Linked DNA regions of Alligator mississippiensis. The protein of the gene in region 1 interacts with the protein of each later gene in a pairwise test. Links are inferred from orthologs where the notes say so. Each region holds a gene or a part of one and is shown on either strand. Other genes may lie near its edges.

Region 1 (10,820 bases):
ACCTTTTCCTTCTTGACAGACTAGTCTGACAATGAAGACTTGAGCTCACACCTCTTGGAGGTCAACTGTAAAAAGGAAACCCAAACATTTAGGAGAGGAGTAAGCCTCTTCATGCCTAAAAATACTAAGTTAAATATTTCCATGTTCCCTCAATAGATTTATTGTAAATATAAAACAAAACCAAAAATTTAAAAATATATAGAAACCAGTGGATACTTCCTTAGTCTAATATAAAATGTTACAACAAGCCTGGTAACCACACTATTGCCTAAATAAGAGCTAATTACATTCTTTCTTTCTTGAAGTAATGATATATTGTACAAGATGGAAATCTGGGAGGCAGATAATGCTTCACTTACTACCTTCTTTCTATCATCATGGTTCCCCCTTTCAAAATCCTACTTCTTAACCCAAACTTACCTGCACAACCAGAAAAAACTCCAGCTTGTATCTACCATCAAAAGTATAAATCGCTGTTTGAGTCTTAAATATATCAATGAGCTAAAAAAAAAATGTGACCTGCAGTCTTGTCTAAAATCTAATTGACATCAATGGAAACTTTTTTTGATTAAGAATTGCAAGATCATTGTCCCATGTGCATAACATTATTCTTGTTAGGCCTAGATAATGGAAAACTATGGTCTATCAGGGAAATAAAAACATAAAAGTAACTATGTACAATATGCCCTCAATCTACCCATTCATATTTAAATTATTCATAAACAGCTTAGCAAAGATCATAACATTCTTGGCACACCAGGATAGCAAAGTTACATGCTTTGCTCTGTGATCTGCTCTTCTAGTCAGCTAAGGCACTGCAGGTTATGTTTAATACAGAGGAAAGCACAGAAATATAATGGATAGAGTTGAAATCTTTGGTTTATCTGATTGTTGTGAACATTGCACACCATTTAAAAAAGCTGATCTCTGAATCAAATTAAAAACCTTAGTTGAATACAAAGCTATACTATGGTTTTATGAAATGACAGATTTCTGTAAAAGATGCTTAGTCTGTCATAAGCCCTGACCATATATTTATTAAAACAAAACCACTAAGGCCTTAAAATTATAAATATAGACATCTCTTCCACAGATACACATTGCTGAAAATAAAACATAAGGAATAAGATTATGGATTTATTATTATTAATATTATGGTATTATTCCTAGGCTGAATACACACACTTGAACAAACTAACAACCTTCCACTCATGCATATGCTAGTAAGATCAGAGACCACTCAAGCCTAGTGGCCCATTGAACTAGTGTGTTTATGGCACAGCAGTTTCTGTGGCCAGAAGCACACAAGTGAGTCATTCAGCCCCCTTTGACTCCCCTTTCTGAATAAGCCGCTTAAGGCTGAGTCTACTGATGGCAACCTTTGGCACCAGCACAAAACAAGGCTCTAACTCACAGTTCTTGAGCTGTATCAAGCCAACATAAGAGTTCTGCTATTATCTCCCTTTATGCAAACAAGGTAGAAAAACATTAAGAGATTAGGCTTGCTTCTACTCGCATTAATTTCACCGGTGAGGAGAGATGAGAGGGATCAATAGAAAAATGACTTAATTTTCTGACATAGCAAGGATGTATGTTGTTTACCTGTTGTTCTCTGCTAGAATGTTGAACAGTTCTTGACACAGTGGGATTTTAGGACCTTTGTTTATCTTTCTGTGTCACATGCTTGTCCCATCTTTATTACTTTAGATATATAATTGTATTCCACATGTTTCATTTCTATGTGCATATTTTTGGCTTCTGTGGTCAGTAACTTCATTAAGACTGCGTATTGTAACATTAGCGCACACAACTGCACAAAGTAATACAATATTTTGGTGTTCTCTGTTGTAAATATTCTCTCATTTTAGATTTCTAATGGTTCTAGCTGCTAGATGCCTTGGGAAAGAAACTGAAGATCTCAGAATCATATCTTAAAGTTATTTTATTTGATATGTTTTGCTTATCTTGATTTAAAATTCAAATCTGTCTTTTTTATCTTAAACAAGATAAGCCAAATTATATCTAGTTTAAATTACTTTGGCTCCTTACATAGGACAAATCAGTTGTAGAATTGTGCTATATTCATTAAAAAGACATTCTGCTGTGTATTTTATGCTTTAATAAAACCTAGAAAAGACACTTAACATGATTTAAGTAGTTCATGATATAATGTGTGTAACCTTTCTATTTCAGCTTTGTTTGTATTTCTTTCTTGTAATAATTTCTAGTATTTACAGCTACTAGATATGAAGTCACAGTCTGCCTTCTATTGGTCTGGGAAATCAGGGAAGCTGTTTTCAACCAGGAGCCCTGTAGGGTACTAGGCCTATACTGGATTGAGTGCCCCACTAGCCAACTGAAGCCAACACTCCTGAAGGAGACAAGGTTGGAGTTACATTACAACACTGGTCCCCAAAAGACTGGCTAGCACCTGCATTGGTAAAAGGGACAAGAAGAAGCTCTTTTGTGTCTATGCAAAAGGCCAAATACAATACCCCCAACATGGCACCAACTGTCAAAAGCTTACACTAATGACATTTACCAGGCTGTCTTACCTTGAAGTAAAGTGCATTATCTCCCAGATCTCTTTAATGTTTAAAGCATGCAGCACATACAGATATTTACAGTTTAATTCAGTGGTTCCTAAACTGTTTCTAGTTGCTTCCAGTTGTGAGCCACACTTCTGTAAGACTCACACACATAAGCAATTACATTTCTGACAGGCATGTAACTGCCCCTAGTTTAAGCACTGCTGACCTTGTTCTTTGTTAAGAATCTTTGTTTTAGAAATACAAATGCCCTATGAATTCAGTATTAAGATTAAAATTACAATGATTTTATTCTTTAATTGATTAAGTATGAAATATGATAAATAGTAAACAATGTATGCAGTGTTACACAACTACCATGAAGCCAGAGACACCATGCTGCTGCTGACAGAATGATATAGGTTTTATTCTTTTCCCACTAACACCCAGGATAAAACATCCTAAAGTGTTTTCTTGTTTTAAACAACCACTTCCTTACTATCTGCATTTTTAAGTTAACATATCACCTTTTAATCAGTGTTAATAAGCTATAATTACTAGCACTGTGTAGTGTTTACTGCTAAACCTACAATCTGATCCAACAGAAAATTTTCCTGTCAGTGTTTTGGAACAACTGCCATCCCTGATGCACATAGCGCACACTTTAGAGTTGGCAAAGTAAACTTGTGACCAGCATTTTGGAATTTTTTTTTTTTGGGGGGGGGGGGGGGAGTAAGGAAAGCACAGTGTGTCAAGAACCGTGTTTTTTTCCAACCTGGTGGCTGGGGTGACTGGATGGGGGATCTGGGTACAGACTGGGGCACAGGCTCAGGGCTGTCTGGGGAGCAGCTCTGCAGAAAAGGACATGGGAGCTACAATGGACAGCAAACTGAATATGAGCCAACAGTGTGGCCTTGTTGCCAAGGAAGCTAACGGCATACTGGGCTGCATTAGTAGGAGTGTTGCCAACAGATTGAGGGAAGTGATTATTCCCTCCTATTTGGCACTGGTGAGGCCACATCTGGAGTACTGTGTTCAGTTTTGGGCCCCCCACTACAGAAAGGATGTGGACAGATTGGAGAGAGTCCAGCAGATGTCAATGGCAGTGGTTACAGGGCTGAGGGACATGACTTATGTATGAGGAAAGACTGAGGGGACTGGGCTTATTTAGCCTAGAGAAGAGGCGATGGAGAGGGGCTACTCAATAGCAGCCTTCAACTACCTGAAGTGGGGTTCAAAAGATGATGGAGCTGGACTGTTCTCAGTGGTGGCAGATGACAGAACATGGAGCAATGGTCTCAAGTTGCAGCAAGGGAAGTTTAGGTTAGATGTTAGAAAAAGCTTTCCCACAAAGAAGGTAGTCAAACGCTGGAGCAGGTTACCCAGAGAGGTTGTGGACTCTCCACCCTTGAAGGTGTTTAAGACCCAGCTAGACCAAGCCTTGGCTGGGATGAGATAGTTGAGGCTGGTCCTGCTTTGAGCAGGGGGTTGGACTAGATGTGACCTCCTGAGGTCCCTTCCATCCCAAACTTTCTGTGGTTCTCTCTTCTCCTCCCTCCCCTCACTTGGATGAAGACAGACAAGCATCCGCTGTGGGAGTGAGGGGAAGGGGCCCACGCTCAAGATTTCCACGAGGTTTCTTCTGGCAAATCCAAAATCTCCCGAGGAGACTGGGCCTGTGGACGCAGCAAACGGAAACCAGCCCCCCCCCCCGCCAGCGGCTGGATGCCGCCTGCAGCAAGGCAGGGCTCGCGGAGGCCCCGTGGGACCGCGCCACGCAGCGCTCCCAAGCCCGGCACTGGAGGGGGAGGCCCCTGTCTCTGGGGCTGTTCAGGCATTCCCCCCACACCCCCGTCTGCGCCAAGGGAGCATCCTAACCCCCCCCCCCCTCCCCCGGCCGGTCCCGTCGTCACGTGCCGCCCATTGCTCCTCCTGCAGATGCCCGCAGAGAGCCGGAGCCCCCCGCGCCTCCGCACGGCGCAGGGCAGCCCCCGGGCACAGGGACCCGCCTGCCCCCGCCGACACGTGCAGGATGGGGCCGGGACCCCGCCCGGCGGCACCGGCACCTCCATCCATCCATCCCTCCCGCCCGCGGCTGCGGGGCCCGGGCGGCGGCAGGCAGGGAGGAGCGGCGCTGCCCCCGTCCCCGCGCTTCGCGCCGCAGAGGCCGGTACCTCTTGTCCAGGCAGGCGATCCACTCGCCGGAGGACGACGGATGGGACCCGTGAGCAGCCACCATGTCTGCCTTCAGCCGGCTCGCTGCGTGCCCGGGCGGCGGCGGCGGCGGCGGCTCCTCTCCCCGCCTCCTCCCGCTCCTCCCAGCACCGAATGGGCTCGTCCAGGCCCCGCCGCCTCCGCCCGTGCCGTGGGCAGGGCCACCTGGCCGCGCTCCCCCTCCCCGGCCCCGCGCACCTGCCGCCCGGCGCCGCGCCCGCGCTGCAGTGGAGCCGCCGCCCCGCGGGCCCGGCGGGAGCCCGAGGCAGGGCAGGAAGGAGAGCCGCGGGGAGGGCAGCGGGGAGCGCCCCGCGCCCTCGGGGCTCCTCGCACGGAGCCCTAGGACTCTCCGGCCGAGGGGAGCCGGGCGTGCCCTGCCCCGCTGAGGGCCGGCGCCTTGGGCCGGCGTGGGCAGGGGCTGCGTGGAGCATGCGTGGGGGAGGGGGATGGCTCGACTAGAAGAAGTTCCTGCGTCTTTGAGTAACTCTCCAGGGTCCTAACCCAGCCCGCCGCCGAGGTAGGAGCCTAGCCACTGGCATGAGTTGCCTGCGGCAGGGAGAGCTCATTAAGCCAAGCGGGAGGAGGAAGCTGCCGGGAGCTGGGTCCTGACCAGGCAGACACTTTTCAGCCTGTGCCAGTGTGCGGCCTCCCGGGGCCCGTCAGCTGCAGCCACGCTGCCCCCACGGGAGGCAAGGTCAGTCTCACGTGGGTGTGGATCCACAGCAGGGAGCCCCTGGGCTCCCACTCGGGTGCTGCCGTGGGACGTACCCAGAAACCCCCAGGTTTGGGCGAGCTGACTGAGCGGGGGGTGCAGGCTAGAGCGCAGGCTTTTGGCAGCTGACAGCGCACTCACACTGCGGCGAGGACACAAGTTTAATTCACTCAGAGCCTGGTAGTTCTCGCTGCTTTCCCATCATTGGTCCTGGATTGCATAGGACCAATGCACTGCTACTGTGCAAAAGTCATCTGCTATCCGTTCATACTCACCAGTCATCTGCTATCCGTTCATACGGACCGATTCAATGTTTCAATGTCATGTTTACCTACGTGGCACTGACAAGGATGTAGGAACTCAGCTGCCAGCTGGCCAAATGGTGACATGGAGGTCCTGATAGACCTTGGCTGTGAGGCCAGGAAGACCCAAAAACCTGTGAAAATGCAGATTTCAGGTACACTTTTACAAAGACATTTGTAAAAAGCCAACAGAGAAAGGGATTCAACGGCAAGAACTCAGTAGGGAAGAAAATAGAAACCATTAACAAGCACAAAATGGAAGGCTAAGGACTGCAACTCCAAGTCTGGCAGTTCCTCAAGGATGTGCCCATTCTGTTGGAAAGCTGGACCAAGTGGTCAGCAGTGATGAAAATACTGATTCTCTTAGGCTAACCCAGGTAGTACTTATATTGGACTGGGGCCAGAAGGACTCCAGAGCAGAAGAGCATAATTAGTAACAGTTCTGCTCTTTCTCCCACATGAATGCAATCCCACAAATGCCAATTAAAAATAAATTAAAGCACTTCCTACTCTTGTCAAAATAAATTGGATTGATAACTCATTGATAAGCAGCTGATGAGCAGAGAAATGGGGAACACTGAATGCCAATGAGATAAAAGTTGCAATGTTTCCCTTGCTCTGTCCCAAAGTTAAAGAGAAGCAACTTCCCTTTTTGCCCTCTTACCAGGAAAATATTATGCTCTGGCATTGCATTTCAGGGCTATCTAGGTGAGGAAAAGGTGCCTAGCCATGATGGCACTGACTTTTAGTGAGCGTGTTGAGACCCCCCCCAGGGTAAAGAAAGGTCAGGAGCAATTTGCTGCAGGAGACACCATAGGACATTGCTGACAGGCTGGAATACAAATTCCATGATGGGACAGACAGAACCAAGCTGAAGCTGAGAGGATGCTGAAGAACCATGACCATGCCATGAAGAAGCAGTGCCAATGGTTGCAGCTTAGCAGCAGAACATGACAGCACAGTCCCCAGCCCCTGCCCTCATCTGCTCCAATATTCTCCTTTGGGTGATAACCCATAGACAAGTCTGGGTGGGGAATGAACCAGTCAATGCACTTTATGAATAGAAAATGTGTCTAGTTCCCACCAAACATGGCTAGAGCAAAGCTTGCTTATAATTCACAATTCCATTACATGGAATATTATTCTTCTTAATTTTATATTTTGGTTTGGTTATACCTTCTCTTTAGTATAAAGACGACTGTGATTTTTTTTAAGTTATTTTGTGTTTCAGTCTCTCAGTGTGACTGTTTGAAAAACAGGAGAGAATCAGGAAGTTCAAAATAAATATAAGTGAATAAAATATAAGGTTAGTAATCTATAATATGCATTCTACAGGTAAATTGATACACCACACTTGTTTTGTGCTCACATTATTCTACCTTATTTACATTATTCCACATTATTGTAATTCTTCCTCCAAAGGAATTATTTAGCTCTTATTGCCCTCACTGTCCTGGACACAACTCCAGTTATCAGAAATGAACTTTCTGGTTGCCTGTACCAGGCCTATAAACTAACATACACATCAGCCCATCACTAGCAAAAGGTTTCCCTTTCCCCTGGCATTGTATGATTGGGGTGTGCTGTGAGGAAAAGGGGACATAAACACACACATATTTTATATATAGCGTTTATTTCTGATTAATTCTATATGGTGCAAAACTACCCTGCCTTCTGCCTGACTTTAGATTAATATGGCTGACTACTTCTCTCTGCTCATTTTATATATATATAGGCACCCAAATAGTTTTTTTCAACAGCACCATCTTGCCTTCCTGTCAGCCAACTGCACATTTCACCACAACCCTGCAACTGCTCACTGTCCAATTACCTGTCCAAGGACTTTTCTTTTACCAGGTCCTCTCACATTTGAGTAAGACTTCCTGAACCAGCACGGTGAATAGACTATGTTCACTAAAATACGTGGGAATGGTCACCTCATTTATATCCAGATTACTGATGAGGGACACTGGCGGGAATATTTGAACACGTGGCGCATGGGCCAGGTCCCGGAGGACTGGAAAAGGGCCAATGTGGTGCCCATTTTCAAGAAGGGGAGGAAGGAGGACCCAGGCAACTATACAGTCTCACATCCATCCTTGGCAAAGTCTTTGAAAAAATTATCAAGGCTCACATTTGCGAGAGCCCAGCAGGAAAAATTATGCTGAGGGGAAACCAGCACGGGTTCGTAGCAGGTAGATCATGCCTGACTAATCTAGTGTCTTTTTATGACCAGGTTACAAAACACCTGGACGCAGGAGTAGGGGTTGACATCATATACTTAGACTTCAGGAAGGCCTTCAATACGGTATCCCACCCCATACTGGTGAACAAGTTAAGAGGCTGTGACTTGGATGACTACACAGTCCAGTGGGTGGTGAATTGGCTGGAGGGTCGCACCCAGAGAGTCGTAGTGGATGGGTCGGTATCGACCTGGAAGGGTGTGGGCAGTGGGGTCCCGCAGGGCTCGGTCCTTGGACCAATACTCTTCAATGTCTTCATCAGCGACTTGGATGAGGGAGTGAAGTGTACTCTGTCCAAGTCTGCGGATGACACTGTCATAACCCAATGATTTTTAGTGCCTCGGCACATTGGAATTTTCCCGCCACATGGAGCTTTCTTTGCATGGTGGATTTCTCAGCTGCAGAGAGAAAACCCCGGTGCAAAAGAGTTCCCGCCACACGTATGCAAATTTGTGTCCCACTATTGGTCAATTCTAAATTATTCCTACCTGGCAGCTAGCGATTGGTTTGCTAGCCGTATAAAAGGTTAGAGTAGTTTCCACCCAAGTTGGAGGACTCCACAACCATCTCATGGGGAACTCTAAGTGCACTGTGGAGCCTAGCAAACTCCGCGTGTGTCTTGGAGGAGGACTTAGGGACCTGATCAGACTCTAACCAGTCCCCGTCATCGTGGAAATATTGACGTACCCCCGTGTTGAGCGCTTGTGGAGTCGTACACCGATGACTCATCTCGGTTCGGTTCGAAGAGAGATCTCACCCCTGTGTGTTTGTGTGCAACTGTAATTCAAGCAAGTTTTCTTCCTGCACTGTGACCATTGGCAGTGTAAGTAAAGCTTTCTTTATACAACCAATACGCTTCCGTGCCTAACTCTATTCCATCGTGGAAAATACCCACCTGACAGTCCGGGCTACTGGCCATAGCCTTAGACCGCCCTCGGCTCCCACAGACACAAAAATGTGGGGAGAAGTACACACTCCAGAGGGCAGGGAACAACTACAAGCAGACCTGGACAGGTTGGACAAATGGGCAGAAAACAACGGAATGCAATTCAACAAGGAGAAATGCAAAGTGCTGCACCTAGGGAGGAGAAATGTCCAGCATACCTACTGCCTAGGGAATGACCTGCTTGGTGGAATGGAAGCAGAAAGGGATCCTGGAGTCCTAGTGGACTCCAAGATGAACATGAGTTGGCAGTGTGACGAAGCCATCAGAAAAGCTAATGGCACTTTATCGTGCATCAGCAGATGCATGACGAACAGATCCAAAGAGGTGATACTTCCCCTCTATCGGGTGCTGGTCAGACCGCAGTTGGAATACTGCGTTCAATTTTGGGCGCCACACTTCAAGAGGGATGCAGATAACCTGGAGAGGGTCCAGAGAAGGACCACTCGTATGGTTAAGGGCTTGCAGGCCAAGCCCTATGAGGAGAGACTGAGGCACCTGGACCTCTTCAGCCTCCGCAAGAGAAGGTTGAGAGGTGACCTTGTGGCTGCCTATAAGTTCATCACGGGGGCACAGAAGGGAATTGGTGAGGTTTTATTCACCAAGGCGCCCCCAGGGGTTACAAGAAATAATGGCCACAAGCTAGCAGAGAGCAGATTTAGATTGGACATTAGGAAGAACTTCTTCACAGTTAGAGTGGCCAAGGTCTGGAATGGGCTCCCAAGAGAGGTGGTGCTCTCCCCTACCCTGGGGATCTTCAAGGGGAGGTTAGATAGGCATCTAGCTGGGGTCATCTAGACCCAGCACTCTTTCCTGCCTATGCAGGGGGTCGGACTCGATGATCTATTGAGGTCCCTTCCGACCCTAGAATCAATGAATCTATGAATCTATGACATAGTGGTCTTCAACTTTTCACAGTAATGAGTACATTGCAGCCCCCCCAAATGGCTTGCTAACAATTAACTGATTAGGCACCATGATCTAAAGGGTTGGAATAACTTTGTGTTTTTTGGCATTCAAGAGCCAGAGTAAACTCCTCACCAAGGCTCCTGGAAAGTAAACTTCTTCAGCAAATGTTATGGAGCTATTGCTGGTAATCTTAAATCTGCCTAGTGATGTAGTCCCACCACTTCACGCTTGTGGTCTTGCTCCAGAAACACCAGTCAGCACAGGAGGGATCCACAGTTATTACAACTTGCATCAGTGATCTCCCTTCTTCCATGGGTATATGCAGCCTCAGCAAGTCACTGTTTCTGAAATAATAGTTGCACTAATACAAAATTTGGAATAAGTCATGATTCTGAGTCAGATCCATGAACCTTACTACCATGTCTTACCACCAGCTATGGACAGTAGTAGAGAAAATGCCAACCTGGAAGTAAGTTACTTTCCTGAGCCAGTGGGTTAATGAAAAAAACACCCCAAAAAACATGAGATGTGTCCCTACCTATCCTAATGTCTCAGCTGGATACATGCGATCACCCTGTGGATGCAGGAAAAAGTAGGACTTAAGTATGAATGCTGGACAAGTTACCATATTTAGACCTGGGATAACTCTTCAGTGAAGATGTACTTGTTCTGGAGCAGCCACTATAGTGGCACTTAAATTCAGTTTGCAGTGGATTATACAACTATTTGTTAGAAAGCAGAAGAATTCCAGGCATGAGGTTGTACAAAGGGAATGTGGTCTAACTTTACAACACTGATTAGAAACAGAACAAAACAAAGATACAGTGTTTGATTCAAAAAGACGATGTAACTGCTTAAGACTTGGATTTGCTGTAATAAAGACCTAGATTTTGTTCACAACTGCTAGGAGTGATGTAGAGAAAATTTCCAGGGATGGAGATTCTACAACTTGGAACAGGTAGCCTGTTC
Region 2 (10,993 bases), on another chromosome or scaffold:
GTGGCTCATAGTTTTAGAAGTTGATATCTTATGCTATACGAAAGAGAGAGAAAGAGATATTGTACATGAGATACTTTGCTGAGCAGCAAACTAATTTGCTGTGCAGTAAAGCATTGTTGTGTATAAGTGTGCGGCAATTAGGATGCAGTAGGTTAATTTACTGCACTGCCAGATAGAACATCAACACAAGTGGTATCCAGCACATGTAGACAGTGACATCGGGATTTTTTTACTTCTGCTCAAATTGAGCCAGAGTATAATCAGTTGCATTAATTACACTTAATTTGTTTCTGGCTCTTGCCTGATAGGTCTGCCTGTCCATTGGTCATCTATCTCCTTCCATTCCCAAATCAAAGGTGATGCCAGATACCTACCAAGATGTATGCTAGATAAGCAAGTCCATAGAGACTACTTATATTAATCTTTTGTGCAAATAAGGTAACCATAACATTAAATTCCCTCTTATTTTAGAGCAATTTATGCAGACTGGGGTAGGAGAGAACACCCCCTATCATTTGAAACAAAGAAATACAGGTTTTATATTTCATCTATCTGGACTAGACTAGGAAGGTACTTTTTTTACTACTTTTGATTCTTTCACCTTCTTTATGTTTTCTTTTCAAAATTAGATGAAAGATCAGAAGCAATATACATCTTTTCAGCTATGCTAATGAGGTTTTTCTGGGATCTCAAAAATAGACTGTGACTAATAATTTTCAAAATGGTTCTGCTGATATCAAGAGGGTTTTTTTCAAGGAGTCAACTGTAACTAGAATATGTTTAATGTTGTTTCTTATCCCACCTAGAGTAATATTAATACTTAAGGATTTTTATATCCTTCAATCACAATAGCGTCAGTAGAATTATTCATAATATATAAAACTAATATGATTAAAGTGCTATTTTTATGAAGTTTTTTGTTTCTTTAGATTTTTTGAGGGTTAAGTTCTTAAGAAGAAGTGAATATTGTTTAGTGACATTGAGGTAATTTGGTTTTCTTTTTCTTTTCCAATTAATTGACATTTATCTGAAATGATAGGTAATAATTGAAAAATGTAAAATGATTTTTAGTACACATGAACTCAGTGCTGTCAGCTACATTGTCTTCATGCTTTCTGTGCTTCTTTTTTAGTCTGTTGTGGAAGAGGTCAAAGCAGAACTGAAGTAGTCAAAGAATGAAAAAGTTTATTTTGGGTGATAATGGTCTGGCACTCTGAATGTATTAGTGTGTCTGAATTCTTTCCCTGATTGCAATCTAAGCAGCCAATGCCAATAAATACACTGAGTGACATTTTTAAATGTATAGTGTGTCTTCCGGTTGGGAGCTGCCTGACAAATATTTATTATTTGGTTAAACAAAGAGTAATTAAGCTTCTAAAGGAAAAAAAAAAGAAAAGTAATTGTGACCTCCTATGGCTGAGCTCAGCAGGATCTAGTCATAGCTTCCTCCTGAAAGTCTGAGTCACTCTCAGATGCTGAGCCAATTTTCCCTCCCTCTACTCCCAATTCCCATTTCTAACCACCATGAGCAAATGTTATCAGAATCAACACAGATTTTTTTTTTAAAAAGCTCAGACTTTGTACAAGGTACTTCTGCATTTCTTGGAAGTTACAATCACGTTTATTGTGCCATCGATCCTACAAATAAAATTCATGGCATATACTAAATCTGAAGCCTTATTTGAGCAGATTGCAGCTCATGAGATGCTTAATCACTTCTGTTGTTGCTAATCATTTTTGCCCCGGGCACTTTAAAGATTTATGACATTTTTTCAAACAGCCTTCAATTTTGCCTGTCAATTTTTCACCTCTAAATATTTGAGTGTGCACCCTCAGACTTTAAATTGAAAATTCAAATTAAATTGAATTTGTATAAATCAAACTATGCAGTAACACATTTTCTGATGATATACTAACATTTATGGTGAGAGATATCTCTATATATACCTCTCACCATATATAGGAGCTGAAGGAGCTAGGCAGGTTCAACTTGTGAAAAAGGTGCTTAAGAGCGGGTGCTGTAGTGGGGGCTGTGGCCCTATACCTGGGATCTCTTGAGCATATATTGACAACCTTTCATAGAAGCAGGACATTGGCTGCCATGGTCCCCTGCTGTACCTGTGGCAGGTAAGAGCATTAGGTCTGTATTGTCAGGGCTGAAGGTATTCTTATGTAGCATTTGGATTTTGGTTTGTATGGGATGGTTAGGTTAGGGATGATCCTGCCTCAGGCAGGGGGTTGGACTAGGTGACCTCTGGAAGTCTCTTCCAGGCCTGTTTCTTTATGATTCTGTATCCTTGTTAGTATGCAGGCTTGAGGGGCTACACATGCCTGTTTTCACTGTTTGTGGGCTTGGGTTATACGGTTTGAGGTTACAGCGTGCAGTTGAATAGGGCAAGTGGATCAGATTTCGTGTCCTCCTGGCCCTCCCTTCCAAATTTGTGAAGTTTGTACGCATTTAAATGTTGTCAACAACAAATCATACAAAAGTGACTAAAGGGACAGCCCTCATCTTAAACTGTGCAGAGGTCTGCAGTGTACTGGCCCTCAGTTTTAGCATCAAGTTGGCGTAAGTAGAAAGAGTAGGAGTACTGCAGACAGCAATTGTCCCCTGGATGCATCTGAACTCCCAGGATTCTGGGTCTGGGACTTGCATGTAGGATGCCAGCCTGGATATAGAGAGCATCTGAACTCTTGGACTTGCAGGCCTGGGACTTGTATATATGCAAGGGGTTGGACTCGATGACCTCCTGAAGTCCCTTCCAATCCTAATTTTTTAGAATTCTGTATTCTGATGTTTAAACCTGCTGAGTGCGGATGCCTAGAACCTAAATTTTCCACTCTTCCCACTCCCACAGTAAAAGCTGGTGCCCCAAAGAATACATAATTCAAATAGACAAGATGACCGCATTGTAAATACTATTATGGCCATTTTTCCAAAAGGAAAACTGGGGCACAAAAGTACTAAGTAACTTGCAGAAGGAAGTTAAGCAGATTGTAGAAAATTAACATAGGCCTGCTTAATCCCAGCGCAGTCACCTAACCAAAGATAGCTTCTCAGAGCTGAAGATCACGTTTGTAACTCTTCCTTCCAAAAAGGATGCGTACTCATGATGCAGATGCTAATATCGCTGTTGGCAGCATTACTTTAATCTGTGCTGAAAGGCAAAATCAAGATCTGACTTTGTGTGTGTTTGGTGCAGATCAGATGGGACAATGCACATTTTAATTTTTCCGCTATACAATTCTTTTGTGTGAACTGAATCTGGAAAGACTGCCTTGATGAACAATCTGAAATAATCAGCAAACCAAACAGGAATATATATTTTACCATGATGACAGCTCAGCTTCTGGAGCTTTCTGTTGCTAAACAGTATTAAAAAAATTACAGGAAGAAAAAAGACAATTTTTTGTTCCATGAAAGACAATGGAAATGTTACCATTAACTTCCCTGAGATTAGAAGTCTTAATATTACCCAGAGAAAATAATGACAACATAGAACTTGTCTGTTTGGTCATCTCAACTTATCTACATTACCTGAAAGGGGTTCCAAAGAGGATGGAGCTGGACTGTTCTCTGTGGTGGCAGATAACAGAACAAGAAGCAATGAGCTCAAGTTGCAGCAAGGGAAGTTTAAGTTGGATATTAGGAAAAACTTTCTCACTAGGAGAGTAGTAAAGCACTGGAATGAGTTACCTAGAGAAGGTGGAATTTCCATTTCTGGAGGTTTTTAAGGCCTGGCTTGACAAAGTCCTGGCTGGAATGATGTATTTGAGGATCACCCTGCTTTGAGCAGGGGGTTGGACTAGATGACTTCCTGAGGTCCCTTCCAACCCTAATTTTCTATGATTCTATATCAATGATGACATCTCTATCTCAGACTGGACACAGCTTAGATCTTTATTGCATGTACACTTCACCAATATTTTAGATACTTTTTTTTCATCAAAAACCAAGAGCATTTCTTGTTTGATATTTGATATACATCTCAACTTTCACACATCTGCACAGGAAGGGGGTGGGCACACTGATGTCATACAACTTTTATGTCTCTAGCTTTGTAACTTAAAATTCAGTTATACTTTATTGGCATGATAATTATACAAGTGTTGTCAAAAAAACAGACAGACTTCCTCTGGTGTCTAGACAAATGGTGGGGGTATACACAATTTTGCATGTGATACTCTGTGTTATCATCTGTCTACTAGGGGTGTGCGAAGTGGGCCCTATTAGATTTGGATTTGGATTCAGCCCAAATCAGGGACTATTTGATTCGTTGATTCAGATCACTGTCCCCGATTCAATTAGGCCAAATCCGAATCTGAAGATTCGATGCTGATTCGGAGAATCAGCGATGCAGACATAGACACAGCTTTAAAAGTTTTTTTTCTACATACCTTGAGGTAGCAGGCATGGCTCGTAATTGCTGCGATGTTGGGGCAGATGGAGCGTCCCGCAGGAATGCAGGGGGGCGCTCAACGTGCTCAGCAGTGAACCCAGAAGTGTACTGGAAGTACTTCTGGTCCACTTCCGGGTATGCCGGGGAGTGCACAGGGGGCCCCCCTGCACCCCCCTGGCTCAGTGATTGGCTACGGGGGGACCCTGGGTGCCCCCCCCCAGTCCCAGGAAGCACCAGTCACTGAGCCATGGGGGGCCAGGGAGGGCTCCCAAGCACTCTCCCCAGTGGACCCAGAAGTGGACTGGAAGTGCTTCTGGTCCACTTCTGTGTCTGCTGCTGAGCACGCTGGGGAGCCCCCCACACTCCTGTGGGATGCTCCATCCATCCCAGCACTGCAGCATTCATGAGCCCCTGCTACCTAGAGGTATGTAGAAAAAACATTTAAAGCTGTGTCTATACCTGAATCTCCAAATCTTTCCGAATCTCTCCGAATCGATTTGGAGGATTCCGATTCGATTTGGAGAGATTAAAGGGTTCTCTGATTCTATTCGGATTTGGAGATTTGGCCATCGAATCGGACTGAACTGGGCCAAATCTCTGCTGAATGAAATCAGGGACCGAAGCTTCATACAGCCCTACCGTCTACTCCTCGTGCGGTGGCAGATTGCAGAGCTTTGTGGTGCCACCTGTGCAGTCATACCCAGTTGTTTTAAAAGACATGGGGTCAGTGTCTTCAGTACAATGGGGTTTTAAAAGCAAACCTTAGCATTTGCTCATATAACACTGTGGTATTGTCCATGATCACTATTATTCTTTATTACTTATGTGTCTCTGACACTTTATGATGCCATGCTTATAGGGAGCTTACAGTTTAAGGAAGAGGATTGTGTGATAAGGTGTAATGATTTCAACTATGAGATGTAAAAGATCAACCAAAAGTTTGTTGAGGTGTTGAGTCACAGCAGGGATGGATTTGGTCAGTTGGATTAGACAAATCCAGGGGCAATGACCCTGACACTGCACAGATTTATGTACATGCTTATCTTTTAACAATATGGGGTTTGATCCTATGCTCAGTGAAGTCAGTTTTCTAGCTGCTGTTGATGTCAATAGTTCAAGATCTGGTACATTCATATTTAGTGCGAAGTCTTTGATATCAGATTGATACAAAGTGTATAATGATCTCTTTTTGTCCCACTGTATCATGCAGCTCTCATTTTGCATTATCTAGTCAAAACAATATTCTTTTTAACACACAAAGGGTTCATCTTACTGGGCACACTGAGTGCCCCCAGGAGATTTGGAGCGGCATCTACTCCCACAGCTATCAATAGGTCTTATTTTTTTCCTTTTTTTCTCTCCTGAGTTAATTTAATATACATATTTTAGGAAACTTTATTTGAGCTGCTCATCTGGGATGGTGTTTAGCAGTAATTGCAGTGTGTGGGAGCTTTCCAGTGACTTAACTGGGAGCAGGTTCGGTATCAGTTTCTCCCACAAGTAGTGGCACTTTAGTTGTGGGTGACCCCCTGGTTTACAGCTCACATCTCAGTTTATGACTTCAGATCCTCCGAAATGCCCAACGTGGTGGCTGTTGTTTGCCTCCATGCAAAAGCTTTACTGATGCGTTACCTCTGTGTGAATGCTTTCCTCAACTAATGCTTTATAGTGTATATCGATTTGCAGCACAGAAAGTGGCCCATTGTGCAAATATTGGCCGTGGCCACGAGCAGGGGTCCCAACAACCCTACAGAAGCACAAAGGGGCTGTTTTGAATGCAACCGATGGAGCAATATAATGAACAATGACTTAAACAGAAATGATACAATGACCTTTGAAGAAAAGATGCAACTTCACTCATTGGGCAATTCTTCCCTGTTTGCCTCAGCTAGCTCCAACCTTGGCGTTAGTCCTGACTGCTCTCTGCTGACATCTCCTTTGTCTGCAGCACTGCCCATAGCTGGCACGCTCTTCTCTGGGACGCGGGGGGCCGCTCCCGGGGTCCCTTCCAGCCTCACGGCTGGGTGCCTGCCCGCTCCTGCCTGCCGGGACACCACAGCCGGACGGGGGCCGGGGCCGGGGCCGGGGCCGGGGCCGGGCCGAGCAGCCCCGCCCCGCCACGTGGGTGCGGGACGCGGGAGCTCCCGCCCGCCCCGGCGCAGCAGCCAGCTCGGCGCTGGCTGGCGGCGGCAGGCAGCTAGCCATGGTGGGGCTCAAGGAGGAGCTGCTCAAGGCCATCTGGCACGCCTTCACCGCGCTCGACCTGGACCGCAGCGGCAAGGTCTCCAAGTCCCAGCTCAAGGTGAGCGGTCCCGCCCCGACCCGTGGGGCAGCCCGGCTCCCACCCCTCTCTGATCCGGCAGGCACGACATCCCCGCCCGCTCCCCTGGCATTTGTCTGCTCCGGCCGCCTGCAGGCCTGGAGCTGCCCGGGGCCGCCGCGCTGCTCCTCCCTCCCTCCCGCACGTCCCGCAGGAGAAGTGGTGGAGAGGCGCCAGCCGTGCTGCGCCTTCTTCCCCGGGCTCCGAAGCCCTTAGTCAGAGGAGAAGTAGGGTGGCCGGTTGTAGCCGCCCTGGTCTAAGGCAGGGGTTGTCAGTGTTTTTGGTCAGGGTGCCAGAAACACCCACAAACTTGACCTGCAAGAGGTTGGCGTGCCGGGGAGTACCGGAGGGGAGCCATCACGGTACTTGGGGTCGGAAGGGACCTAAACAGATCATCAGGTCCGACCCCCGTGAGGGGCCTGATCCTCGTTGTGGCAGGGCCCGAGGGGAAAGCTCCAAGCAAAACGCCTTTGTGCGCCATGCTCTGGCATGCGTGCTAGGGGTTGCCTACCCCTGGTCTAAGGACATAGGCAGGCGAGGCTCTTTGGGGAGCTGTGGTATCTTTTATTGGGCCAACTCAAATACTTGAGTTTGAGTGTGGGGAAAGATGTCACCTCTCCCCAAAGAACCTTGCCTGCCTGTTGGGGAAGTAGGGCTAGTGGGGACCTCCAGAGGGCATCCAGTGTGAGCCCTGGCCTGAGGCAGGATCAACTCTGTTCAAACCGTCCCGTACAAATCATAATCTTAAACTCTCAACCCGACCCACCCTACCCTGCCGTCGGTCAAGCAGGGGACCCAGGGCAGCCAACGTCCTGCTTCTATAAAACGTTGTCAGTATACACTCAAGAGGTCCCGGGCAGAGGGCTGCACCCCTGCTATAGAGGAAGGCAAACCCCCCTATTCCAGTCTGACCCTGGGGTGAAATTCCTTCCTGACCCCAAATACAGCAATTGTTGCTTGTGCTCCTCAAAGAGCTCAGGCAGCTAGCTCACTGTACCTGATCCCAGCCAGGCTTTGCAGGCTGGAGAAGAGGAGGAGGAGTTGGGCTAGATCAGCGGTTCCTAAACTGCGGGTGTGACCTCAGATTGGGTTGCAATATCAATGGATGGGGTTGCGGGGGTGGGGGGCTATGCTGAGGAAATGGGACCATAAATGGGGTCAGGCTGACAAAAAAGTGTGGGAAGTATTGGGCTATATGAATATCCTGAATAGGAACAGTCCACCTGTTGATAACTGGAGCTGTAGATGATTGTGTTGAAGGCTTGTGGGCAGGATGAGGATTAACCTGTAGCGGGAAGAAGGCTTGGCTAATGGCTTCCTGACTGACTGCATTCAGTGCCACACAACTTAATTGGATTCATAGCGCATGTGGAGTGTTGTAGCTGTGATGGTCCAGGAAATGTGTATCTAAGGTCTCCCAATTAAGCAGCTGGTTCAATAAAAGGTGTCACTTTAAAAAAAAATCCTTGCCTCTAGGAAATGGAATCACTGCCTTCCTACTGTGCTGCTATAGCATCAGCACAACTTAAAGATTGAACCAACACCTCTTTACCCTTCACAGCAGCTCTTGGGAAGGCCCAGTTTAACTTCAAGTGAGAGTTTTTGTGTTAGACAGGAGGCAGAATGTGGCAGAACTGCTTGAGTTACAGCTCAAGTTGACAGGGTAATGGAGATAAGCTCTAGGCCAGCTCTAGCCTCCATAGTTCCTCCAGGAAACACTAGACTCTCTCTGTTCTGCAGCAGGGTCAATAAGAGTACTACAGTGGGAAACCTGGGGCTAAATTAACTTGGTTGTAGAGACAAATATTCTAATTTTTTAGGTCTAGCATGACTTCTGGAGGACTCCTGTTTTCTTGATGTGGCACTAGTCTTTGCTCTATCCTGTCTTGATATGCATGTCCAGAGCTGTGTTCTCATCTGCACTGCAATCTCCAGGGGTGGTTGTAGCTCTTAGAGGCATGCCAAAGCTTTGATCTAGCCAACTGAAGTAATACATGTAATGAAAACAGTGGTCTAGGCTCTGGGTGTGAGCCAGCCTCCCTAAGATGCAAGGTCACAGATGAGCTTGTATGGCTTACTCTAAAACCCATGAAACTGGATCTTTGTTGCTGCTCTTCCCTGGGTTGGGTCAAGCTCAGAGATGCCTTAGATGTTGCAATTGTATTGCCTCATTACAGTGTATGCTGTCTCCCTCCTCTAGTTATGTTTTGCAGTAGCTGTTCCCCTTTACTCTAATTATTCTGTCTTGAGTGTAGGAGAGCATAAAGGAAATGGTTTTGTCCTCTTTGACAGTTTTCCATAAAGTAAGCATGTTGGGTACTGCTTATGTTAAATATAATTATCTGCTCTATTACTTACAGAACATTCTCTTAAAACTTTTCGGTATTTGTAATACTTCTGGAATAAAAAAATTAGCTTTAGTCTTTGCAGTGCACCAAGCAACATAATTGAAGGTACTGGCTTTCTGCTCAGAAATTAATATTTCAGGGTCATTACCCTATGATCTCATGTTCAAATTGGAGAGCCTTAGTTTTAGCATTTACTCATGAAAATAAAATCAGATTAACAGCCAGTTTGAGAGGTCATTAACCAGTGAAAATAAGGAGTTCATATACTGGCCCTATGAGATTAGTGTTCCGGATTGGAAAAGTGAGGAGTGTGCTCCATGTACTCTGGATAACTAAAAATCGTTCCTGTCTAATCTAGGGGTAGTAGATTGTACAGGGAAGACATTTTATTATAATGATACTATTTTTTTAGTGCTACTAGACTTATAATTTTTTTCTAGTGTTATATTGTAGGACACAGTGTCCAGGTAACATGGCAGTGGGTATGCTGAAAAATTGATTGATTGGTAGATATTTGAAGAATTAGGAGGAAATATGTTTAATGTTGACAAGATTCTGCTGCCAAAAAGTGGTGTAGAAGTCTGGTGAAATAACTCTGTTTTCTAAGAACAAGATGTAAATATTTACTACTTGCAAGCCTACCATTCACAAAAGGAAGGAAAATCAACTACATATAAACTTTCCTTCTTTTAAGTGTAAACTAATTGGGGATGGTTCTCTAGTTGTGCATGCCTGTATAATGCCCTCCTATTAATATTGTGTTCAGCAGTGAAATGTTCCGGTATTTGTGCAGGAAACAAAAGCTTTTTTGGACAATAGGGTACAATGCTGATCCATTAATTTTATTGCAAATGCAGTACAGCACTATTTCTGAAAAAAAGGCATTCTAATTTATCTTCCCAGTTATTGTGTTTGCCTTCCAGAAGTGACATTTTAATATGGAATAAAAATGGGCATATGCAGTAGAGGTGTGTATCTCTTATGTTGACAGTAACTGAATGTAACTGAAGTAGAAAGTACTGTAATGGAAACAAGTTGGCTGGTCCTTTCATTCCCCTACTGTATTGTCTGGAGAGGAGCCAAGCTCATGTGATTCATGAGGCAGTTACTTGTATGAAATCTCCCTCGTCCCTTATCAGCTAACAATTTAGTTCTGTTGTCTCTCAATTTACTAGTAAAGAGCCTAGGAGTGAACAGAGAAGATGTAGTTCTTTACTCCTATTGGTGAGTCTTTTAAGTGAAAATATTGGTGTTACTAAAGCAAAATCAGTACTCCAGTGTAGTTTAAAATTTTCTCTTTCAACACACACTGATTTTTTTTTTTAATCAGTATTTTGCCATTGCACCAATAACTAATTTTTCTCCAAATCAGCAAAAAAATTAAGCTCTTACGCTGCTTCTTGTTCTTAAGTTATGCATGCTAAATATAAACAACATCATTGTTTTGTTCATATTGCCCATGCTCTTTCACATGCCAATACAGCAAAACCACTATAACTTTTGTGGATGTAATTATGGCTTCAGTTTTCTAAGGTGGTTGTAGTAGGAGCTACAGGCAGGCACTTGTATTGCTATCTTTACATCTGATCTAATCTTTTTTGCACACTGTAGTGTCTAAATATGTGAATTTTTTTAGAATTAAAATGTTTTATGTTGTCAGTTGGTAATTTTGGAAAGTACTCCCAGTGCTTCCTGTTGGACTTTGCTAAGTTTGCTTGTAGTATTAAGTGCTATTCTGGTAGTGTAGCAATGGGATTGAATTTGAACAGCATCCCTAAACTGTGTTGCTCCATGCTAGAGAGCACCACCATGAAAACATGCCTGCCTCCACAGTCCATCTTCACATGTATGAAATGCCAAAAATGTCATGTACAGTAACTGCTTTTTGGGGGAGGGGAAGGCAGGCTTAGCACCACTGTAATGAC

What was found.
Region 2: the proteins of RAPGEF4 (region 1) and SWAP70 interact in a two-hybrid assay, tested with the Homo sapiens proteins (2 studies listed by BioGRID and IntAct). The link is inferred for Alligator mississippiensis from reciprocal best matches to the Homo sapiens genes RAPGEF4 and SWAP70.

What each region holds. Positions count from the first base shown.
Region 1 is NC_081827.1:211,586,678-211,597,497, forward strand, and holds the start of RAPGEF4 (rap guanine nucleotide exchange factor 4), read right to left. Parts: upstream 4,803-10,820; 5' UTR 4,768-4,802; coding exon 4,703-4,767; intron 1-4,702.
Region 2 is NC_081825.1:198,047,477-198,058,469, forward strand, and holds the start of SWAP70 (switch-associated protein 70), read left to right. Parts: upstream 1-6,535; 5' UTR 6,536-6,603; coding exon 6,604-6,702; intron 6,703-10,993.